Macaca mulatta: one gene and its partners. The protein of the gene in region 2 interacts with the protein of the main gene of each other region in a pairwise test. Links are inferred from orthologs where the notes say so. Each region holds a gene or a part of one and is shown on either strand. Other genes may lie near its edges. The genes, in order: NBR1, SYT4 and SGTA.

Region 1 (3,650 bases), on a different chromosome or scaffold from region 2:
TGATGGGATCTGTAGACCATTTCCACATCGTCTTGTATTCAACTCTGTTCAAATTCATGCCTGTCTCCAGACAAGTGAAAAAAGGAAGAGTTAAATAGGAATTAGGTGTTGAAATAACCAAATGGCAGGAAAGAGAAAATGCAGCAGGTAAAAAGGAGAATCAGCTAGGCCAAAGTGAAGAGGCCACTAAAGGGAGTTTGTGGGGAAGTACAGGATTGAGTTCCCAATTCAAAGAGGAAACATCTAGTTTACAAATTTGCTTCCATGGGTGATCTCCTTCCCATTAAATATACCGGACTAGATCAAAGTGGGCATATCTCTGATTTCCTGATTACCGCCTATGGCTCTACCACCTTCTCTCCTGTGCTCTCTCCCTCTGTCCCTTGCCCTACAAAGTGCTGAATCTTCCACCTGGGCAGTCAGAAGATCCACAGATGGGATGTAGAGCTCCCTCTCACTGGCAACATTTTTTGCCTTCTGTGGGATGCAGGCTGCTGATCCTTCTGTCTGCTCAGTCACTTCACCAAGTTGTCTTTCTTCTTTAGCCAGAAGAAAAGCTTCCTATAGAGACAAACCATTGAGACAAATTTTAGGCCTTCAACAGAACTGAAGAGGCAGGCTGACAATGCCCCCAAAAATAAAAACTCTGCTGTACCTCTGTATCTTAAAAAACTTAAGAAATGTTTTTGATATATTTTTACAGTTATAGAAAAGCTGTAAAAACAGCAGAGAGAATTCACATTCACCCAGCTTCCCCTAATGACAACTTACATTAACTATAATAGTCAAAACCAGAAAATTAACATTGGGTAACTTTAAGCAGTAAACACTCTGCCCGACTAATACAAAGAAATTGCATTAAAAAACTGTGCACTAAGTAGCAACCAGGGCAAGACTTCATTAGTATTTAGGAAACATACACACAGTATTTCAGGAGATGGATATTAAGGAGAAAAGCTATCAGTTCAGCAGTTCCATAGGCCAGGCCAGGCCAGGCGCCCCTTTTTCCCTTGTGCAGCCAACAGGCTGACCATGCAACATTACAAAGAAGTATTCAGGGACCGCCTGCGGCAAGACCCTAAAGATACTAAAACAAAGACACTAAAACAAACACCCTAAGGAAGAGGCCAAATATCAGCACAGAAATGTGTTGGGGGCGGGGGGAGATGCTAACCTTTCAAGATTTCTGGAAAACAACTAGCTATGAGTGGGTTCTTTTAGCCATGTCCTTTCTAACTATGATTTGGATACTGGGCCAAAGCCTGTCAGTCAATGCTCACCTCTTGCTGGCAGGTGAGATCATCAGTTTTGCTTGAGCTGATCATGCCCTTTTCAATGTTATCAGGGCTCTCTTCGGAGGGGAAAGGATCCACTATGATACTGCACCAGACTCGAGGCCCAAATTGCTGGCCTTTGTGAGAAAGACGCCAATGGGAAGTATACGTTCCCTCCAAGGCTGGGGCAATGAACTCCACAGATACAACTCCCACATGGCCGGCCTTGAGGCAAGGAACCAAAACATCCTTCTTTTCTGTGGAAGCCAAAGTCAGGTTTCCCCACATGAACTTGAGCTGAAAAAAACAGTAAGAAGAGAAAGCAAGCTTGTCAGCTGAGCACTCTGCCACTTCAAATCACCTCATCTTCACATTTTGTGGGAAAAATTACCTTTGTGTCTGCACTCCACTTCACATTTCCTGTATTCTTCATCCTCCAGTGTTTGATAAACTTGGTTCCTGGCTGAAGGTGAGTCCCATCAGGCAAATTCTCATCCACAAATGCTGCACTGAGCATTGGCATAACGGGGGTATAGGGTTGCAAAGGGAGCCTGAACAGAAATTCAGATGCTTAGTCACTTGCTGTTGGGTGTGAAGTCTTCAGAATATCTCGCACTGGCTTGAGAGTCTGGCTGTGACTCTTGAAAATGTACTAACCCATTTGCCTTAAAAATAATACTAATATTACTAGTATAGGACCACATATCATAAACAATAAATTTTCTGACAAACTTAAAACAATAAAACAAAACAGAGGATAGGTCTCACTCCTGAGCTAAAAAAGTCATGGTAAGAGTAATTAAAAGGGCCCATAAATACAACACCTAGAGAGTCAGGCTTTTAAAATATTTGTTCCTTTTGCTTCAATTCCAGACTGCCTCCAATGAAGAGAGGGACCCCACCACTCTGAACTTTAGTGGTTTCTATCTTTCTGAAGAAGGAAACAAAACAAGTGTCAAAAATAACTACCAAATGTGGCCGGGCACGGTGGCTCACGCCTGTAATCCCAGCACTTTGGGAGGTCAAGGCGGGCGGATCACGGTATCAGGAGATCGAGACCATCCTGGCTAACATGGTGAAACCCTGTCTCTACTAAAAAATACAAAAAAATTAGCTGGGCATGGTGGCGGGCACCTGTAGTCCCAGCTACTTGGGAGGCTGAGGCAGGAGAATGGTGTGAACACAGGAGGCGGAGCTTGCAGTGAGCTGAGATCGTGCCACTGCCCTCCAGTCTGGGCGACAGTGTGAGACTCCGAGACTCTGTCTCAAAAAAAAAAAAAAAAAAAAACTACCAAACTACCCTTTAATAATACTAACACCAGACCAGGCACAGTGGCTCACGCCTGTAATCTCAGCACTTTGGGAGGCCAAGGCGGGCGGATCCTGAGGTCAGGAATTCGAGGACAGTCTGACCAACATGGTGAAACCCCGTCTCTATTGAAAAAAATACAAAACTTAGCCAGGCATGGTGGCATGCGCCTGTAACCCTAGCTACTCAGGAGGCTGAGGCAGGAGAATCACTTGAACCCGGGAGGCGGAGGTTGCAGTGAGCCGAGATCACACCACTGCACTCCACCCTGGGTGACAGAGCGAGACTCCGTCTCAAAAAAAAAAAAAAAAAAAAAAAAGCTGGGCGCAGTGGCTCACGCCTGTAATCCCAGCACCTTGAGAGGCCAAGGCGGGTGGATCACAAGGTCAGGAGATCAAGACCATCCTGGCCAACACAGTGAAACCCTGTCTCTACTAAAAATACAAAAAATTAGCCAGGCCCGTGGTGGCGGGTGCTTGTAGTCCCAGCTACTCGGGAGGCTGAGGCAGGAGAATGGCGTGAATCCAGAAGGCAGAGCTTGCAGTGAGCCAAGATCATGCCACTGCACTCCAGCCTGGGCAACAGAGAGAGACTCCGTCTCAAAAAACAAAAACAAACAAAAAAGCCAATAACAAAAAAACTAAGACCAGATAATCGGAATTTTTAAGGATTTGGGTGTTAAGGGTTACCAACAAATAAGACGGAAGTTGGTTGAAGTTCCAGTTTCAGAGAGCTGGGCCTAAAGTTTTGGCTCCCACCCCAGCCCTGGGCTTACATCAGGGTATTAGACTGGAGCAAGCTCTCAGGTCGGCCTAAAGGAGACTTGGGGCTCTGGAGTCCATGGATTGAATTCCACAGGTGAATTTTCCTATGGAGTTTAAGTTGCTTTTTAAGTTCCTTGACCTCTGCTTTACGTTGTTTCTTCTCAGCTCGCAATCTTTGCTTTTCTGCTTTAAGAAAGTTCTTATCAACCTGTTTCTGGAGCCTGTGAGATAATAAAAGCAAGTCTTAAAAGAAAGTCACAAATAAATTCTGAAGTTACGTGGAGCCAATTGCAATCTTCATCA
Region 2 (3,650 bases):
AAGGAAAGAAAATAGAATGTTCTATGGACCCATTCTGATTATTATTAACTTAGTCCAAGAATAGAATAGAAGGAAAAAAATATATATTAGACAACATCTAGCTTTACTGACTTGTGTGACTTTGGGTAAGTCTATTTCCCTGACTTTTGGCTGTGTTTTCCATAAAATGAGGATTTAGAGTCCACAATGTCAATGTTTTTTTTAGTTTTAACTTTTATGAATTTCTTTAGTCACAGGCTGGATTTGCTTTCTATTTCCTAGTGTTGAGCTTCTCTGTGTCATTGTTAGTATGTAGATTTTAAGTTCATGCCACTTTATCACAATGCTTTTGCCTTTTTCTGGTGGCAATATATGAGTCAATTTTAGCTTCATAATCTAATCTTTTAAGACCATGTTTTCAACTTCCATCATTAAATAATACTAGTAATAACATTAGATGATATTTGAAGAAGTGTGTGTTTCTAGTTCTCACAATGCCCCTCAGGATGAGCAGTATTATGGCCAGTTTGTACAGAGGTTGAGAAACATACCCAATAATATTTTGTTAAGGAATGGAAGGGTTAGGATTTGAACTCAGGTAATGTTAAACTGTAGCTTATTTTGTTTCTCATTTCTATACAACAAACAATTAGTGTTTTGTTTCATTTTTTTTGTAAAGTTAGTCACAAAACTAAAAGCTAACTTTTACAGTAGATAAACAAGGTATTAGAGAAAAGATAAAACATAAAAGAGTAAGAGTAGGTGGGCTCATTTGCAGTAAAATACATTCCACTCATACAGTGAACCTGAGTATTTCAGAAGCATTCTTACCTGAAAGTCCGGACACATCAGATTTAGGCAGATGTCGAGCTTTTAAGACAACCACAGTTAGAGTATTTGTGGTGGACTGATAGCAGAGGGAAATCAGTAACTCACCCCGTCCTGAAGACTTCTAAAGAAAGACAAATGTGATATAAGTATTTCTATCTTTTTAGCTTTGAAGTTTGTACTTTCATTAAAGTTTAAATAACATTGTCATTTAAATGTAATCTTCTTACTTATTTTTATTTTTATATTCTAAAGAATCGAAGAGTAAAAGCTTTTCTGCAGGACCATCGCTGCTTGAAAAACCACTGCCTGCCATCTTGTGGTCTTGTTTGGTACTACAGGATGTTAAAATTCGCAATAAATTGACCACACCCATTACTTAGAAATGTTTAAAGCATATTTAAATTATATCCTACACAGGATTATTTTTGGCTTTTGGTTTTTAACAACATCTATACTTTTCAAAGTTATTACTAGTAACAAAGCTTATCTAATTATTTGCATGAGTATGTGTTGGGTCAAATGACTGCACATACTCATGCAAAAAATTAGATAAGTTTGATTTGATTTCAAATTCTTTACCACCGACATGTTGAAATTTGAACTCAGTCCCAGTGAGATTCATTCCGACCCCAACTACCTTCCTGGCACAGAGGGATAATGGAGTTAAAATTCTCTGCCTCTTTAACAACAGCAAATTTCCATTCAAGCCAAGAAATGAATTGATTTTAAGTACTGGAGAGAATTGTTTTGGGACGGTGTCATAGCGTCCTTCTTTGAATGCTACTTAGATTTCATTTGTACTTTAAAGACAATAGATAACATATCCAATAATTCAAAGTAAAATTTTTGACTGAAAGTAACAAGATATTAACTTGGTGTTTGTTTGCAACTAAGAGTGATGGCTGACACAAAACTAAAACTGCAATATATTTATACAAAAACTAACATGGGACAGCTGTATAAGTAGGCACTCTAAGGAGAATAAGAGTAGAAGAAAGATTCTTATTCCCACTGTGCCACTAAATCAGCCGGGTGTCTCAAACAAGCTGTGCAATGTCTCTGAACCTTGACCTTCATTAATTTCACTAGGAGAGGAGACAGTCAAAATGAGCTGTCAGGTTTTCAGTTCTGAAACACTATGTTGTTTCAAAAACGTAAATTAGTATGTTTATTGATTTTTATAAATAATTCTACTATAGAGAGAAGTTATTCTGAAATACTACTGTTGAAATCAATTGAGTTTCAAATTTAAAGTGAAGATGGGATTAAATTTGTTTAATTGATGCCTTATTTTTTCTAATAAACCCAGAACTACCAGAGTAGTATAACTACAAAAATAGAGGAACTCATTTCCTACTATACAATTTAGAGATAGGCATTGATAATTGAATATGACGTGATACCTCCTCCTTGAAAAGCAGTTCCATTGAAAGTCAATACAATTTCCAAATCTTCAGGAAGAATTGATTTAATTTTAAATTTCCATTTTAAATTCAATTACGTTGACCTTGAAACCTCTTTGTTAACTTGCCTATGAATAAGAAATATTCACCTATATTTTAAAGTAGCAGTGTCTGTCAAAATATTTATGATAGAGATTAACAAAAGTATTTACGTAAGTGATATATAAATATCCATAAAGAATGCATATTTATTTCATATCATTAAAACACTTTGAGTATTTCAGTTATGGATTAAATTTTATTTCATCTGTTCTATTCCCTTGATCTCCATTAGATTATAATTAATAATAATTAAACATGGTAAGGATGACATGTACAAGCTTATCATATTAATGAAAATTCCTCAGACACCAAAAAGCTACATAAAAGATTGTTTATAAATACTTTAAGCACTGAAAATAAATTACCCTAACATTTCTCTTGATGATCTCTCTGTTCATTAACATTTTTCCTTCAGATAATTCAATTCCCGAGAGAGGAATTAGAACTTCCCCAATGATATCATCTCTTGAAAACCTGTCAAAACTCAAAATTGTGAAGTGCAAGGCCAATTCTTGGATTTGGGTGTAGGGGATCCCATAGAATGTAAAGGTCTCATCAAAAGCTGGATCCAAGGTTTTTCTCAGCACTCTAGTTTTCACTTTATGCTTCTTCTCTGGGAGGATCGTCATTTTGATATATGGGTCAGAGGTCATCGACTGCTCGTCCATGGCTGGCAAGCCACGGGCTTCCTTGATATTGACCACAAATGCTTTTTTCTCAAAGTTGTATTCTAAGGAGAAGAAGAGAGTTCCCAGCTTCTCTTGTTTCTCTTCTGAGGAAAGGGAAGTGCTGGACTTTAAACTATCAGGGGAAACTGCCTCTTTTTCTCCTTCTAAAAAGAGCTTTGGGGTTGCATTCTCCAGATCAGAAGGGCTGCCAGGTTTGAGGTTGGTTTTGGGAAAATTGCCATTGAGATCTCTCTTTTCAAGATCCAGATGCAATGAATTCTTTGGCACAGTTGGCTTATTCTTTACTTCATTTTTGTCATCTGCTCCAAACTTCTTTTTGCTATTTAGGTTTTCAGGGTAAATATCAACTCCCTTAAGCACATGCACAAACTTGTATGGAGGAGTCTTGTTAGACTTGGATGATTTTCTCTGACAGCAGATCCATGCAAAGAGAGAGACTGTGAAGACCAGGCCAAATGCACTGAAGATCCCCACCACTGTGGGGATTTCATCTGAAAAATCAAATGACCAATAATATACATTAAAGAAGCAGAGCTGGAGATACGAGCCTTTTGAAAAGCCTAATAGAGCTAGCAATTGCTATAGGTTGAATAGATTGAATTACTTTCCAACTGATATATATATCACACTAACTTCAGATACAAAC
Region 3 (3,650 bases), on a different chromosome or scaffold from region 2:
CACCGCTGCCGCACAAGAACTGGCGTCCCCATGGGGCCGCACACGAGGCCTCAAAGCCCAGAGCGGGCTGAGAGGAGGGAGCGGGCCGGCTCAGGGTCACAGGAAACGCGTGGATGTGGTCTTGGCCCCGCTTTCTGGCACAGGGCATCGAGGACCCTGGGAACTCAGTGACAGACGTGTCTCCTGTCGTCCACAAGCAGCCCCTGACTCCCACCTGAGTCTTCACTACTGAGATGACTTGGGGCCCCTAGAGAGCCCAGAAGGAGGCAGGTCCTGGGGAGACTGGGCAGGTGAACAGGATCCTCCCCAGCCTCCGGGGAGACCCAGTCCCACGAACTTTAAGCAAGGGCGTTCACAGAAGCAGGCGAATGAACTGCTTCTCATGCTGGGAGGGTGGCACCAGCGGCACGGGGCACAGGCTCCTGCCCCGGGGACCCTCCTGGCCTCGCCCTCAGACCCCTCCTGTGTCCTTCATCATAAACCAGGTGCTTCCCTGAGCTCTGTGAGCCGCCCCAGCAAACAATGGAGCCCGAGTAGGGGCCACGGGAACCCCAGTGGACAGCCAGTCGGGAGAAGCAAGGGGCCCGGGGATCTCCGAGTGGCACGTGATGCAGGGCGTCTGTGGGGCTGAGCCTGCGACCTGTAGGGGCTACGTTGGCTCCGAACGGCTAGTGTCAGAGCTGAACTGAACTGTGGGGGGAGAATCGGTTGTGGGTGGGGGAAAAAGCCACACAAGAGAGGAAGCAGGAGCAGGAGAGGAGGAGCCCCGAGAGACTGGAAACATGCGACAGGCACTCACCCCATCCTGCCGTAGGCCTTGCTGTAGGCGGGGTCGATGCAGATGGCCCGCTCACAGTCCTGCACCGCGCCTGCATAGTTGCCGAGTTTGCTGTAGGCAGCAGCTCTGGGGAAGAAAGGCAGGGCAGGTCCCTCACTGGCGGCTCTGAGCCCAGCAGGCAGCCCTGGAGGGGAGCCTGAGAGCTGCGTTCCTCTTCCGCTTCCTGGAGGAACGGCCTCAGGTTCCCCCTCTGTAAAATAGGGCTGACGGCGAAAGCTGAGAGGTGCAGCCACTGAGATGCTCTTAGACAGATGCGCGCTCAAGGCACCAACAGCCACTTGGGACTGCGACTCTGAATTTTATTTGCAAAAACTGTTCCAATCCATGGCTGCACAAGAGCAATGAGTGTGGGAACTTACACCCAAGTTTCGTTGACAAATTATTTACGTATCAGTAAAAAAAGAACTCAGACCAATGTCAAAGCTCAAAGCTCTTGGCTTACAGCATCTGAATCGTCTTCACCATTTTCGTGTTTAGTGTTTCTCTTTACGACTTTTTCAAAGTACGGAGAAGCGTAAGTGGAGAATAAACTACCCCGTGACAAGCGGCCAGGGACCCTGCACTCCCTCTGCAACTGTTCTGCAAGCCTGAAGCAGATCCCAGACCACACGTTCAAAAAAACCTCAACCCTCCACATACCGGATTATTTTCTTGGCTTGACATCCACGTGGAACGCCGTGACACCTGATTTTGTATGTATGTGTGTATGTACGTACGTATGTATGTATGTATGTACGTATGTATTTATTTTTGAAACAGGGTTTTGCTCTGCTGCCCAGGCTGGAGTGCAGTGACACGATCTCAGCTCACTGCAAGCTCCGCTTCCCGGGTTCAAGTGATTCTCCTGCCTCAGTCTCCCAGTTAGCTGGGATTACAGGCGTGCGCCACCACGTCCAGCTAATTTTTTTTTTTCGGGTTTTTTTGGAGACAGAGTCTCCAGGGTGGGGTGCAGTGGCGCAATCTTGGCTCACTGCAACCTCTGCCTCCTAGGTTCAAGTCATTCTCATACCTCAGCCTCTCAAGTAGCTGGGATTACAGGTGTACACCACCACGCCCGGCTAATTTTGTATTTTTAGTAAAGACATGGTTTCACCATGTTGGACAGGCTGGTCTCAAACTCTCGATCTCAAGTAATCCACCCGCCTCGGCCTCCCAAAGTGCTGGGATTACAGGCGTGAGCCACTGTGCCCGGCCCCCAGACTAGTTTTTACGTTTTCTGTGGAGACAGGGGTCTTGATATGTTGCCCAGGCTGGTCCCCAACTCCCAGCCTCAAGTGATCTTCCCCCCGTGGCCTCCCAGAGTGCTGGGCGAGCCACCTGATCTTAACGTCAGCGTCGACTCTCCCTGACCCCCTTGCTGGCCGCCTGATGCTTGCTCTGGGTCTGGGACCGCCGGTGAACGGATCCCTTATCTAGAGCGCAGAGGCCTCTCCCATCTCAGGCCCCTGCCAAGCATCCCGGAGGGCGCCCCGCACACGGCCGCCCCCGCCCTGGGCAGGCCCCGAGCTGGCACCTGTTGCAGAAATAGACGGCGTTGGCTGGGTTGAGCTCGATGGCTTTTCCGTAGAAATGCACGGCAGCTTCGAAGTTCTCCACTTTCATCTGCTCGTTTCCTACAGGGAGAGGGGGAAACACTGGCCCGGGCGTCCAGACAGACCCGCGGGGGCTCTCGGCCTCACACCGGGTTCTTCGGGGCACCTAGGGCTCAACACAGCCGTGGGCAGGAGGCGTCTGCATCTGTGGGGGGTTCACTAATCACAAACGGTCATCTCTACACCCACTAAGGGGGATGGAGGTGGGGCCGGCAGGGCCTGGCCTGGCGATGGATGGTGGCTCTCGCTGCCTGGATGGTGACCCCTGGGAACAGAACTGTTAATACAGCCCATCGGCCCAGGGATCGAAACTGTCCCTTTTGCCATTTCTTTTGGAAAGAGCCCAAGCGGAGGCCTGAATTTTAGAAAACTCCTGATACCTTCTAATTTCATAGCAATGTGGCTTCTATCTAAGGCATGGGTCCCAGCTGGCAGGACAGTAAAAAGCCCGGCTGCTATCCTAGAACCAACTGAGAGCTCTGAAGACAGAAACCCGCTCCCACCCCCGAGATCCCAATTCAGGAGGGTGTTGGGGGAAGACTGGTACCAGCGTGTTTCCTTAAACAGTTTTACTGAGATATAATTTACAGGCCACAAAGCTTATGCTTTAAAAATATAAGGCCAGGCGCGGTGGCTCGTGCCTATACTCCCAGCACTTTGGGAGGCCGAGGCAGGTGGATCGCGAGATCAGGAGATCGAGACCATCCTGGCCAACACGGTGAAACCCGTCTCTACTAAAAATAGAAAAATTAGCCAGGCGTGGTGGCGCGCGTCTGTAGTCCCAGCTACTCGGGAGGCTGAGGCAGGAGAATCACTTGAACCAGAGAGTCAGAGGTTGCGGTGAGCCAAGATTGCACCACTGCACTCCAGCCTGGGCAACAGAGAGACACTCGGTCTCAAAAAGAAAGAAAGAAAGAAATGGGATCACACGCTGTGTGTCCTTTTGTGTCTGGCGTCTCTCCCTGAGCGTGATGTCCTCATGGTGCATCTGCACTGGGGCCTGGGTCAGAGCCTCACCCATCCACATTCCACTGTGTGGACGGGCCACACTGCACTGACTATTTATTGTGGACAAGCATTTAAGCTGTTTTTGCTTCTTTTTATTTTTTTTTAATATTTCTTTTTTTTTTTTTGAGATGGAGTTTCACTCTTGTCACCCAGGCTGGAGTGCAATGGCGCCATCTGGACTCACAGCAACCTCCGCCTCCCAGGTTCAAGCG

What was found.
Region 1: the proteins of SYT4 (region 2) and NBR1 interact in binary tests that used the Homo sapiens proteins (3 or more experiments, as listed by UniProt). The two-hybrid records come from large-scale screens. The link is inferred for Macaca mulatta from reciprocal best matches to the Homo sapiens genes SYT4 and NBR1.
Region 3: the proteins of SYT4 (region 2) and SGTA interact in binary tests that used the Homo sapiens proteins (3 or more experiments, as listed by UniProt). The two-hybrid records come from large-scale screens. The link is inferred for Macaca mulatta from reciprocal best matches to the Homo sapiens genes SYT4 and SGTA.

Annotation. Positions count from the first base shown.
Region 1 is NC_133421.1:67,529,344-67,532,993, reverse strand, and holds part of NBR1 (next to BRCA1 gene 1 protein), read right to left. Parts: intron 3,569-3,650; coding exon 3,359-3,568; intron 1,826-3,358; coding exon 1,666-1,825; intron 1,572-1,665; coding exon 1,281-1,571; intron 562-1,280; coding exon 412-561; intron 1-411. UniProt on the Homo sapiens protein: Ubiquitin-binding autophagy adapter that participates in different processes including host defense or intracellular homeostasis.
Region 2 is NC_133423.1:49,172,172-49,175,821, reverse strand, and holds part of SYT4 (synaptotagmin-4), read right to left. Parts: intron 3,496-3,650; coding exon 2,681-3,495; intron 932-2,680; coding exon 811-931; intron 1-810. UniProt on the Homo sapiens protein: Synaptotagmin family member which does not bind Ca(2+). Involved in neuronal dense core vesicles (DCVs) mobility through its interaction with KIF1A.
Region 3 is NC_133424.1:3,534,746-3,538,395, forward strand, and holds part of SGTA (small glutamine-rich tetratricopeptide repeat-containing protein alpha), read right to left. Parts: intron 2,452-3,650; coding exon 2,352-2,451; intron 905-2,351; coding exon 800-904; intron 1-799. UniProt on the Homo sapiens protein: Co-chaperone that binds misfolded and hydrophobic patches-containing client proteins in the cytosol. Mediates their targeting to the endoplasmic reticulum but also regulates their sorting to the proteasome when targeting fails.